Linked DNA regions of Elephas maximus indicus. The protein of the gene in region 1 interacts with the protein of each later gene in a pairwise test. Links are inferred from orthologs where the notes say so. Each region holds a gene or a part of one and is shown in the gene's direction. Other genes may lie near its edges. The genes, in order: PACSIN1, COBL and COBLL1.

The links.
Region 2: the proteins of PACSIN1 (region 1) and COBL interact in binary tests that used the Homo sapiens proteins (3 or more experiments, as listed by UniProt). The link is inferred for Elephas maximus indicus from reciprocal best matches to the Homo sapiens genes PACSIN1 and COBL.
Region 3: the proteins of PACSIN1 (region 1) and COBLL1 interact in binary tests that used the Homo sapiens proteins (3 or more experiments, as listed by UniProt). The link is inferred for Elephas maximus indicus from reciprocal best matches to the Homo sapiens genes PACSIN1 and COBLL1.

The regions. Positions count from the first base shown.
Region 1 is NC_064819.1:97,289,539-97,293,284, forward strand, and holds the start of PACSIN1 (protein kinase C and casein kinase substrate in neurons protein 1), read left to right. Parts: upstream 1-1,400; 5' UTR 1,401-1,747; intron 1,748-3,746. UniProt on the Homo sapiens protein: Plays a role in the reorganization of the microtubule cytoskeleton via its interaction with MAPT; this decreases microtubule stability and inhibits MAPT-induced microtubule polymerization.
Region 2 is NC_064826.1:111,952,996-111,956,741, forward strand, and holds the start of COBL (protein cordon-bleu), read left to right. Parts: upstream 1-1,398; 5' UTR 1,399-1,559; coding exon 1,560-1,675; intron 1,676-3,746.
Region 3 is NC_064824.1:62,843,130-62,846,875, reverse strand, and holds the start of COBLL1 (cordon-bleu protein-like 1), read left to right. Parts: upstream 1-1,193; 5' UTR 1,194-1,377; coding exon 1,378-1,387; intron 1,388-1,636; exon of another isoform or gene 1,637-2,045; coding exon 2,046-2,163; intron 2,164-3,746.

The DNA.
Region 1 (3,746 bases):
TCCTGAAATTCCTCCACCTCTTGCCCCATCTGGCTCATTAGAATCCCAGCTATCATTCAGCACCCAGTCAGAATGCTGCCTCCTCCAGGAAGCCTTCCTCTGAGTGGCCCTAAATCAGAGCCCTCAAACCTTCTCCACATTGTCCACTCACTTGGTTGCCCTGTTCCGCCTTGGTGTGGGTTCTGGCATCTGGCAACCCTGACTAGGTATTGAATTTCTCGGGCTCCAATAGCTAACATGCAGTTGATCAGATCATTCGTACTGAAAGGGCCACTAAGGGCATGAATTTCAGTGCCTCTGGCACCAGGGTGTGGGGAGGGAGGGCAGGAGATGTAAATACATGACCAGCCCAGGTGATGCAATAGGGAGTGGTGTGGTCTGTAGCAACTAGAGTCTGCATGCCTACCTGAGGGGCTTACATTCAAATTAAAAACTCAGCCTTCCCCTCTAAAAGGCTGAGACCCAATCTGGCCATGACTACCCTAACTTTCTTTCCTTTTCTCTGGTTTCATTTTTCTACTTCATGCATATCATTTTAACATGTAGTCCATAGGGTCGCTATGAAGTCAGAATCGACTCGAAGACAACGGGTTTGGTTTATATACTATTTATTTTATTTAATGTCTGTCTTCCCTCACAAACATAAGCTACCCAGGGGCAGAGATTTGGTCTGTTTTATACTCTGCTGTAGTCCAACTCCTCGTCAACGACTGGCACATAGTAGGCCTTCAATAGATCAGTGCTAAATGAGTCATCAGCCAGCGCACTTCTCTCTGCAGCGAAGAACGCTGCCCACTCCCCTCTGTAAAGCCCGGGCTCCAGAAGCATTCAGGGTTCAACGCAGGAAGAATGAAGACCAGTGGGGTCACTTTTTAGGCCACAGCCCCCTCAGGGAGTCCCAGGGAGATGTTGCAGAGTCTGCCTTGGTGAAAGCAAGCCCAGTGGGAACTAGGGCACAAGGGTTAGTGACTCCGTCCCATGGGGTCAACAGGGCACTTCCGGGCGAAGCCGGCGGGGGATGGGTGGAGTGGTGGTGGTGGAGTATCTCTCCAGAGCGATCTCTCCTCCCCGCCAAACACTAAACATACCGCCCACACGCGCGCATCCATAAGCACCCGCACGTCCGAGGAGAGGAGGAGACATAGGAATTAGGAAAGGCCAGAAACCGACAGACAGAGCCGGAGGAAAGGCCAATAAGGTGGAGAAAGGGCAAAGAGGGGAGCGCAGCAGCACCCTCGGGCCCCAAGCTTGCCTTCAGACAGTCTGGGGAGGAGGAGGGCGCAAGGTCGGGAGATGCGCCCTGCACCCGCCGTGTGCAGAGCCCTCCTCCCCCGGCCAGGAGCACCCCGGGAGGAGGGAGCCTGGGCTGGGGAGCAGAGGGAGCAGGGGCGGGAGGGGAGGACCCAGGGCGCTGGCTAAGCCCGTTGCTGCCTCCTCAGCAGTCGCCGCGCTTCCACCTGCGCAGGCACCGCGCCGCTGTGCGCCGCGCAGCCATTGGCTTGCTAAAAATGCCTCCCTAATCTGCGCTCATCTGTGCACGCCTTCTCTTCATCCTCCCCCTCCTGCTGCTCCTCAGATCTGACCTTCCTCCTTCCCGCAGCCCGGGCGAGATCAGGGAGAGACGCGGTGGCGACGGCTGCGCCAGCCTCCTCCTCCCCCGGGAAGTCGTACGGGCTTGAGACCCGGCCCCAGACGACCCGCTTCGCCCGGTGGCGCCGCCTATGGTGCCTGGCGCTCCTGCCTACAGGTAGGGGGTCTGGTCCTTGGATGGGAGGTATCTGGGGGTCCATCCAGGGAATATTTGCGGTGGGGGCAAGGGCTGACACCTTCCTGGGCCGGGGCCTGGGGAGGATTGGGCATTTACCTGGATAGAGGTGGGCGCGTGGCCAAAGGTGCTTTGCAGGCGCATAGGGTCGCTGGCATCACTCAGGCAGTGCCAGGATGCCTGCGCTGGACCCCTTGAGAGTTGGGGTTGGCAGCTGGCAGTGGAGGCCTTTACCCTGGGGAAAGCGCAGGAAATAGGTTGCTTGGGAAGCTGAGGAATGGGCGCCGGTGGCTCAGGTGCCTGCCCTGGGGCATTTGGAAACCTGCTGAGGTGGGTGGGCTAGTGCCAGCTTAGTGCGTCCGCTATTTATGGATCAGAGTGGGCTGGGGAGAAACACAGCAGCAGATGCTTCCTGTCTGGTTTTTGATTAAAGGTATTTCCTTCTGTCCCCCGCCCCTTCCCCCACAGCTGGTATGGGGGGAGGGAGGCTGAGAAGGAGGTGATGCTAAGAGGCCCCCAGATACAGCAGAATCGCTGGTTTGCCCGGCACTGCCCACCCCCTCACCCTCAGGCCCGTGCTGCTTGTTGGAGCCATCTCTCATTCTTTGTCTTACAAGGTGCCATTGAAAGAGTTAAAGGGTCATTAGGGGTGGGGGGCACAACCGGCTTGGCTACAGCCAGCTTTAAACCTCAGCTGCTCCCCATCCACCACAGCCCAGCTTTGCACCCCAGGTACAGTGACACATGTGGGTGCTTTTCCCTGGGCAAAACCATAAATAACCCACATTGCCCTGACTCCTGGTGTCGCAAGGGTGCAAATGGAACTGTTGTTAATGATTTTGGAAGTTCTGTCCCCATGCACTCGGCCTTCCCATCACATGTCCAAATCACCACTCACAAGCCACCCCTCAGGGAGCTTCCCCAATACCTCAGGTGAAATGTTTGCCTCCTGCCCCTGTGTTCTCTGACCCAGCCTGCCTTGTGGCTTGGCTATTTCTGTCTTGTCTGTCGCCCTCTAGACTGTAGGTGCCTTCAGGGCAGGAATCTGTCTGATTCATCTCTGTCATCACTCTTGCACCTGAGCAGGGTCTGGCACCAAGTAAATGTTTGTGGAATGAATGAATGAGAGATTGAATGGACTTGAACTCCAGGAAATGCTGGAAACCTGAAGGAGGGAAGCCTGAAGGAGCCCGTTTGGGCTTTTCTTACATTCCCCAGGACCAAAGAGCCACCTAAAACAGACAGTTTTGTTTAGGCCCTTCCTAGACATGGAATGGATGGGGGCTAAGTCATTTGGAGATACATGCTGCAGTCCTGCTGGCTCCAAAGGGTCTTGCTGGTCCCTGTTTTGAGTGCCCTGGCCTGGTGCAGGCTTGGTAGAAGGCCTGAGTAGGAGGTCTGGCTCTCTTCAAGCCACTGGGCTGGCACCTTCTTCCTGGAATGCTAAGTTCAGACCAGGGGCCTCTCTACCTTTTTTCCCAGCCCTTGGGAAAATCCAAGTCAGCATCAAGGAGGCGAGGCTGGGAAGGCCCAAGGCTGGCCATTCTCAGCCTCTGGGGTCCTCATAGCAAGTGCTGAGCAAATCTAGTATCTCCATTGCGTGAATGAGCAAACCTAGGCCAGGGAAAGGGGCTACCCGCAAGGGTTCTGGCCTAGCCACAAAGGCTGTGTCTGTGAAGGACGTTGACATTTGCAGAGCCCCTTCCCTGCCTTGTTCGTGTGACAGTCATGCCCGATAAGACATCTGCAAGATGTTCTTGTCATGGTCTTACAGGGGAGGAGACTGTGGCCCAGACAGAGACAGCAGCAGAGTCAGAACCCGTGCTGGGGTCTTGGCTTCAAGTCCAGGGCTCTCTCCACTGAACTCGAGGGAGTGGGGGAGGAGGCGCCAGGCAGCAGACTGGGGTCACGGTGTTGGGTTGTCATCAAACCCAGAGACCCCTCGTCTCTGGCTCTGCCTTGTCTCCTAGTAACGGAGGGC
Region 2 (3,746 bases), on another chromosome or scaffold:
TCTGAGCAGAGACCAGATGAGCATTTGGATAGAGACCTGAGGTGGGAAGCGCTATGGGTCTGAGCAACCAAGACCTGGAATCATGGAGGGCTTTGGACTGGGTATCTGGACTGGCCCTCTGATTTTGTTCATGAGAAAGCTGGGGACCCATGGGTGAAAAGCTCAGGCCAGCCTCTGTGTACATTACCCAATGTTAGATCCCAAGAGAGCACCTCTTTCAATGCTGATCACATATGTAGACCCACTTCACCTTGCATCATATTAGCCTTTTGCATCTTATTGGCCGTTTATTCTTCGGAACCATATAAAATTACCATTTTTGTAGGTCAGATTTTCATATCAACCCGTGTGTTCTCTTTTGCTGCTTTGGGAAGTTCCAGTTCATCCAGAGCTGCCTCAAAAGAAAGGCCTGGTGGTCTGCTTCTGAAAAACCAGCCACTGAAAACCCTATGAGTCACAGTTCTACTCTGACACACATGGGGCCACCATGAGTTGGAACTGACTCTGTGGAAAACTGGTTTAGGAAGAGTATGGAGATAATTCAAAGGGGCCTCTGAGGGTAAAACTAGAGTAGGGCCAGAGGCCTTAAGACATGCAGCTACTGAAAGGGCTGCTCACTGGAGATGGGCGGATCAGACGGGTCTTCTTCCAGAAGCCCTTTGGCTTAAGGTCCTCTCTTTCCTGCATCTGCTAAGACCAGCACTCGCTCTGGGCTCCAAAGTGCTTTGCCCCTGCTGTCGTTTCTGTCCACACCTAATGGTTTGTCCAAACCTCTGGAGTCCAATACAAGGCTAGACATGAAGCAAGCACTTAGTAGACCAAGCTTCTCAAACTTGAGGGCCTATCAAACAAGAGCCCTGGTTCAACTGCGCATTGCTGGGCCCCACTACCCACTTCCCAGAGTTTTTTTATTTAGTAGACCTGGTGTGGCCCCAGAATCTGCACTTCTAACAAGCTCTCAGGTGCTGCTGAGAACCACTGCACTAGGTGCCCACTGCGTGGAGGAAGCTTCTGTTGGGTTCCAGAGCAGAGACAGCAGCACCAGAGACTCCCTTCTTATTCTCTAAACCTTACTCCTTGCCGCTGGGCTTGACACTTCGCCCCCTCACAGCCTCTCTGCACCTGGTTTGCCCTGCCCCAGCTTCTCCTCTCTAGTTCCAGGTCCCGGCTGGGGCTCTGGCGCCTCAGGACCCACAACTCAGGCTCAGAGAAAGACGCACTCTCTTCCTGGGGAGAGGAAGCCGAGGGAGGTGGCTGAGGCCAGCGCGGGGTGCATGCCCCACTCCTTCCCCGGCGGCACCCCGCGGGGCCGAGCCTGGCACTCCCGTAGCATCGTCCGCTGGCGAGCGGCCGGGCCAGCGGGCGGGGCCGGGGCGGTGCTCGGGTAGGCGCGGCGGCGACAGCGGCGGGGGCGCGGCGCACCTTGCTCCTGGCGCCCCCACCCTGCGCGACTGCGGGCCCCTCCCCGCACTGTTCCAGCCCCTCCCGCCCTCTCCGCTCCTCGGCTGTCCTGCGCCGGCCCCGCGTGGGAGGACGATGGGTCGGCGCGGAAAAAGTGAATGAGCGAGGCGGAGGCGGCGAGCGCGCCTCACTCGGCCCGGCCGCAAGCTCCGCGCCCCACGCCCGCGGGCACCATGGACTCTGCGCCCGCCTCGGCGGCCAAGCCGCCCACCGGGTAAGCGGGCCGGGCGCGCGGCAGTGCTGGGGTGGAAGGCTGGGCTCGGCTTGGTGCGCTCTCGGGGAGGGCGCCTCTGCTTCGGCCCTGGGCCCACGGGGCGCCGGGGGGCGGTGAGCGTGTGCTCCCGTACCGGCGGGCCGGCCTGTAGGCGAAGGCGGCCGCCCGCGACCTGCTAGGGGGACGTGGAGTTGTGTACTTTGTGCGCTGGGGTCGTTTCCCAGGTAACCGTGTCAGGCGGAGGCCGGAGCGCCGTTTTCCAGCTGGGTGTATTTACGTGCGCGCGCTATAATGGGGGTCAGTCAAGCAGAGTCCCAACCTAACTCCAAGCCCTCCTCAGCCACCTTTTCTGAGTGTCTGCCTTGCGAGTCGGGCGGCCTTGCTGGGACCAGGCCTCTGACTCCAGCTCTGTCACTGAGTTGCCCTATGACCTTGTCACATTAAAGGCACCCCTCACCCGGCCACAATAACCTGCTCCGCTGCCCCCTCCTCCCACGTCCAGGTGCCGAGTGTTGTTGGAGTTCTGTAGCCTCTTTGGCCCGGGCGCTCTCGGTCGGTTTCTGTATAGGGCATTGCCCGGAGAGGTTTTCATGACAACTGTGTCCCTTCCCCATAGCTTTCTTTTCTGGAATTTCCCTTTGACAGTGTGCAGGGGCGCGGTAGTCGGACCATACCAGAGTTAGGGACCCCAGGATTGGATTTACAAGTACAAGGCATGTCTCTTCATGATTCTCCCTCTGCCCAAACCTTTCCAGATTCTTGTTTTTCATCCTCACACCTTGAGTGGAGGGACTACGCGTCACATACAGAATTTTGCTAGCAGTAAGAACAACTTTTGTAATTCAGGACAAACAGTCCTTTCCTTTAAGTAGAGACTGAGTCCGCACTGGAAACGTACACATCGTAACCAGGGCAGTGTAGCCACTGGGATCCCGGTGTTGGGCGCGACGTCCTTGGGAACGTTTGTGGATCTCAGCACGGAGCTCTTTAGCCCTTTCGAACTCACTTGCCTGGAGCAAATGTGTTATGAGTCCTGCAAATGGAATGAGTTGTTGGGGTGGGTCCTGCACCTGCTTACCGAATGGGCCCACTTTCCGCTGTAGCAACTGGACTTGAAGGAGGCAGCTTTGGGGACAACAAATCTCTTTTCTTTTGCAGTTGTGCCCTACTGACTCACCCTGCCCGTAAGCCCATATGCCCCAGTGTTGCCCAGGGCTGTAAAAGGTTTTCAAACTGTTTCCTTCTTAAAAACAAAAAAACAAAGAAAAAAAAAGAAAAACAAAAGCTCGCCCTTTAATGCCAGGAAAAAGTGAGCCAGGTTAACAAATAATCCTGAAGCTGACAAGTGTTCAAACGAACTTTTCCTTGCAGTGCACCTAGTTGCCGTTATGTAATTCCCTTTGAACAGACAAATACCAAAAAAAAGAAAAGAAAAGAAATGTGGGGAGTCGTTTTTCATGGTATACCAAGTGACTAGGGGAAATATGTAACAGAAAATAGAGTTACCTTTAAATCGGTTGCTATCATAGCCAAACAGAGGAAGGATCTTTTTTGCCACTATTATCTTATAAATAAATATGGACAAGAGAACATTTAAGAGGTCAGCAAAACTCTATCCAAAGAGTATTTTTAAAATCTTTTAAAAGAGTCTGATTATGGACTCACGTGTCATCTGATGGCGGTACTTTTTCCAACCAGGTACTATAAAATGAAGAGGTTAAACCCTGCGTATGGTTCTGTATAGTGGTTTGCACAGCTCTGATTGGCCTTTGCATCAGGGCCCCAAAGGAAAACTATAAGGACTTTTGCAAGGCACATAATAACAAAACAAGAAATTGTTATTATGGATATTTTTATTAGTTCTCCCACACTGTGTCCACTATTATGTATTAAAGTAAGAGGAAAAAAGTACTCTCGGGTATTGAATGTTTTGTATAATTTAGATGTATCACTTGCCTATCATAAAGGATAGATACAGATGTGAAATTTGTGACTTTCTTACCTTACCAAAGGCAATTGGATTCTGTTGGTTCTTCACTGAAATTTCTGTTGACTCGTTTCTGTAGCCGCC
Region 3 (3,746 bases), on another chromosome or scaffold:
TTTAAAGAAATAACTGATTCATGAAATTGTTGAACATAAGTTACTGTTTAAAGACTAAACTCCAGAGGATCTAAATAAATTCATTTTAATCGTAATATTGGCAACTTTGAAAAGCAACTTTTTTCTGATATGGTTCCAATATTATAATTCAAATAAGTCACATTTCTTTTGTTTCTATGTGTAAAAATGCATGCTTTTATACACAGGAATAAATAATGCCTGCTCTTAATAGACCAAGGACATGTTACTAGGTATTTAGTATGTTAGCTAGTTTCGGTGATCTTTTTGGTTGCTTTGCTCTAAATATCAATTTAATTTTTAACACCTACCAAATGCTTCTTATCAGTAGGGTGAAGTGCCTAACAGATTTGCTATTTGATGCTGGTATTACAGTAGAGGCTCCTTTCAGAATGATCCTTGGTGTAACTCTATTAGATTATTCCAAATATTTTTACTTTCAAACTGCATTTTTAAGTTAATTTCAAGTTATTTTATGAAAGCAAGCTCTTGGACTGATCAAAATGGCCAGCACCTTAAAGCAATTGGTGCTGTTGAAACTATATATACAAGTTATGCAAATATACCTGTTTGCCAGGTGTAAAGAATCACCTGAAGAAAAAGCACGCGAGAACTAAAACCTATAAACAAGCACACAGCTGGGTCTTCGTGATTCTTTTATTCCTGTAAAACTACCAAGAGATAAGGGGAATTATTAGATTTATCACTCAATTCTTGGCTTACAGATTGCCATTAGACACAATATTGTCCAGCCTTCATTTCACAGCTGCTATAGGCTTTTTTTTTTTTTTTATAGGCTTAAAAAAAAAAAAAATTATGCCTGTAGAGACAGGGCAACATTAAACCTGCTATCCATTAAGAAGGCCACAGTGTCACAGGTGCACTTTTAATGAGTAGCAACCTAAGAGGTCAAGTTAAAAAAAAAAAAAGACCCGAACGTGGAAGGTCAGGCTGCTGGGAGGGCAAGCTGCAAGCCTTGTTCTGTGAGTTTTTCTCCGCACTTCCGCGGTGGCCCAGGTCCACTCCTCCAGACCTCACAGGGCAGGTATTCTCCTTCTCCACATCCCCGCCCCCCACCTGTCTGACTTGGGCGCGCCAGCTTTCCTAAAGTGATACCCTAGTGGTGGGAATGGGAACACTTCGCCCGTTAGCTTCATTGGCGTTCGGCTTCCCCAGGAGGACCCCAAAGACTGGAAGCCCTGGGGGGGAGGAAATTCCAACTCGGTCCTCGCCCACGCCCGCCCCGTCCCTCTCTCCGGCTCGCTGCCTCTCTCGCCCCGATGCCGTCGAAACTCGTCCCCACTTTAGGGTGGCTAGGCGGCGGAGGTGGCGGCGAGGTCCCGGGCCCTGGGCAGGGAAATGGGGCAGGGTGAGTGTACGAGTTTGGGGAGAGGCGCCGGTGCACTCCGCCCGCGGGCAAGGGGAGGTGCTGTCTCGGTCCGGCCGGCGGCTGGGCTGAGCCACCGCGAGGCTGCCGCTTTCTCCTCCATTCAAGTCCTGGCTTGAGAGCCCAACTGAAAGCGCGCGGGACGGGGGAGGGAAGAGTGGGAGAGGAAGCCGCGGGAGAGAACAGGCGAGCCACTGTCTCCTTTTGAAAAGAAAGTAGGAGCCCTGGGTGGAAAAGAGATTAACACTCCCAATTTTTTTTTTTTTTTCGAAAAAAGTTTTGTCTGGGCAGCTCGGCAGCCTGGCAGTGCGCTGTCGGCGTGGCGGCAGTGTCTTAGCGTCTTTCCCAGCTCCTTCTCCTTCCAGCCAGGCCAGCGCCTCTCCCTCCCCCGGAGGCGCCAAATGGCTACCCAGTAAACCCCACGGGGCGGGGGCTGCAGCGCCGCCTCCTGCCACCGCCGCTCCCTGCGACGGCGGCGCCCGCGGGCTGGGAGTCTGGGCCCGCAGGTGGAAGCGCACCCGGGAGGCGGGTCTGCCCGGGGCTTCGGTGGCTCGGGCGGGCTCTTGACGCGTGGCCAGCCCGGCTCTGGCTTCGGAAGGGCGCGCGTCCCGCCCTGACCGGCCGGCCTCTCCCACCCCAGCAGTGACGCGCCGACTTGGAGCTGGAGCCCGCGCAGCGCACCGCAGGGCGATGGACAGCCGAGCCCCGCGCGCGGAGGACGCCCGGGCGGCGCCCTTGCCGCCCGCCACCACCTCAGGGTAAGCCTGGAGCGTCTCACCTTCACTCACCCGGGAGGGCGATGCTAGCGAGGCTTCAACCAGTTTACCTGGTGGGCGACTCCCTGGCCATCAGACACGCAGGCGAGGAGGCTGCCTCCTTTCGGCCTCGTTGGAGACCGCCTGGTGTTGGGAATCTGGTGGTTTTGAACGCTTTCGTATTGGGGCCGCGCTGGGTTGCTGAAGGCCAGCCGAATGCTAGGAATTGGGTAAGGAGTCTGGGAGCAAAAATCTTAACAAAGGGCCCCTTGTTGAGGCTCTGGAGGAGAGGAGGGCGATACCTGTAAGTGAATTCCTGTGAAGGAGAAAAAAAGTTTCCTTGGCCAAAGGCTGAGGCCCACACAGGCGAGCAATAACAGGGTGACTGTGGGAAGGGGCTTTCTGTGAGCGAGTGGAGGGCCACAGGTGTGCCAGCTGTCAGCTTGCATGACAGTTCCGGAACCAGGCAGGGTGCGAGCCTCGATTGGGGGTGTGTGTGCTTGTGGCCAATTACTGATGCCAAAGGCAAGAGCAAAGTCAGACTGCAAACAACTGTACTCTTCTTTGTATCCTCACGTGTTTGTGGAGAAATTGGAGGGGAAGGGGCTGTCACATGGTGAGTTAATATTAAATGAAGCATGTCTTCCTGCCAAATATGCTAATAATCACTGTGCTGAGCGTTTGGGTAAACAGTAATGAGAACAGGTAGTTCTGCAAGAGATGGGGGAGAACCTGAAGATAACCTTCGTCTTGGTAAACAGAGAAGGAATAGCATGGATCGGTAGTTGAGTTTTGAAACCCCTCTGACATAGTATAACTTTTTCCTACAATTGTTTCAACTCTGTTTCTTTTCATTCATCCTTAATCTGAACCCAGAAATGTCCTAAAAAGAATATGTTAGAAATAAAAAAAAGTCAAGGAAAAATTGACTTTGTATCAAATGAATGGGAGTTGTGAAGTTTTCCTAATTTAAAAGAGAAGTCATTTTTCCCTGGAACATGACAGCCGTTTCCTTAGGAGCAAGTCATAGCATGTTTATTCGTCAGAGGCCGTGCGAACATTGGCAGTTGTCTTGAAACATGGAGAAGTCTCAAAGCAACATGACTAAAAGATATTTAGTATAATTTTTTTACATAGAGGAAACGTGTAATGTATGAATTATTTCATTTTGCTCTGATTAGCTCCTTTCCCCCACCCCCCCATAGCAGTATTGCCTTTCCTCTTTTTTCCCCCAGGTTTTTCCACTGTTTAGATATTGCCATATATTCTTTCATATGTTCCATGTTATTGTGTATAAACACATAAAAACAAGGTCTCTAAACGGAGCTGTAAATGAAGATGAACAGTTCACGGCATATTGAAATGTATGCAGGTACCAAAAATAAGACGTAAGGACTGAATTGGTGGATTTAAAATGGACCAAAAGTAAGAATTAGGTTAAGGTACTGTTTACAAAAATAAAAATAGTATGGATATCCACGTACATAAAGTGTCCCATGGGTGTTCAGAAATCAAATGATACCTTTGAGTATTTGTGTGATACCAAAGGGCTCTGTGATGGAGTGGAAAGAGTTTTCTAGTGATAA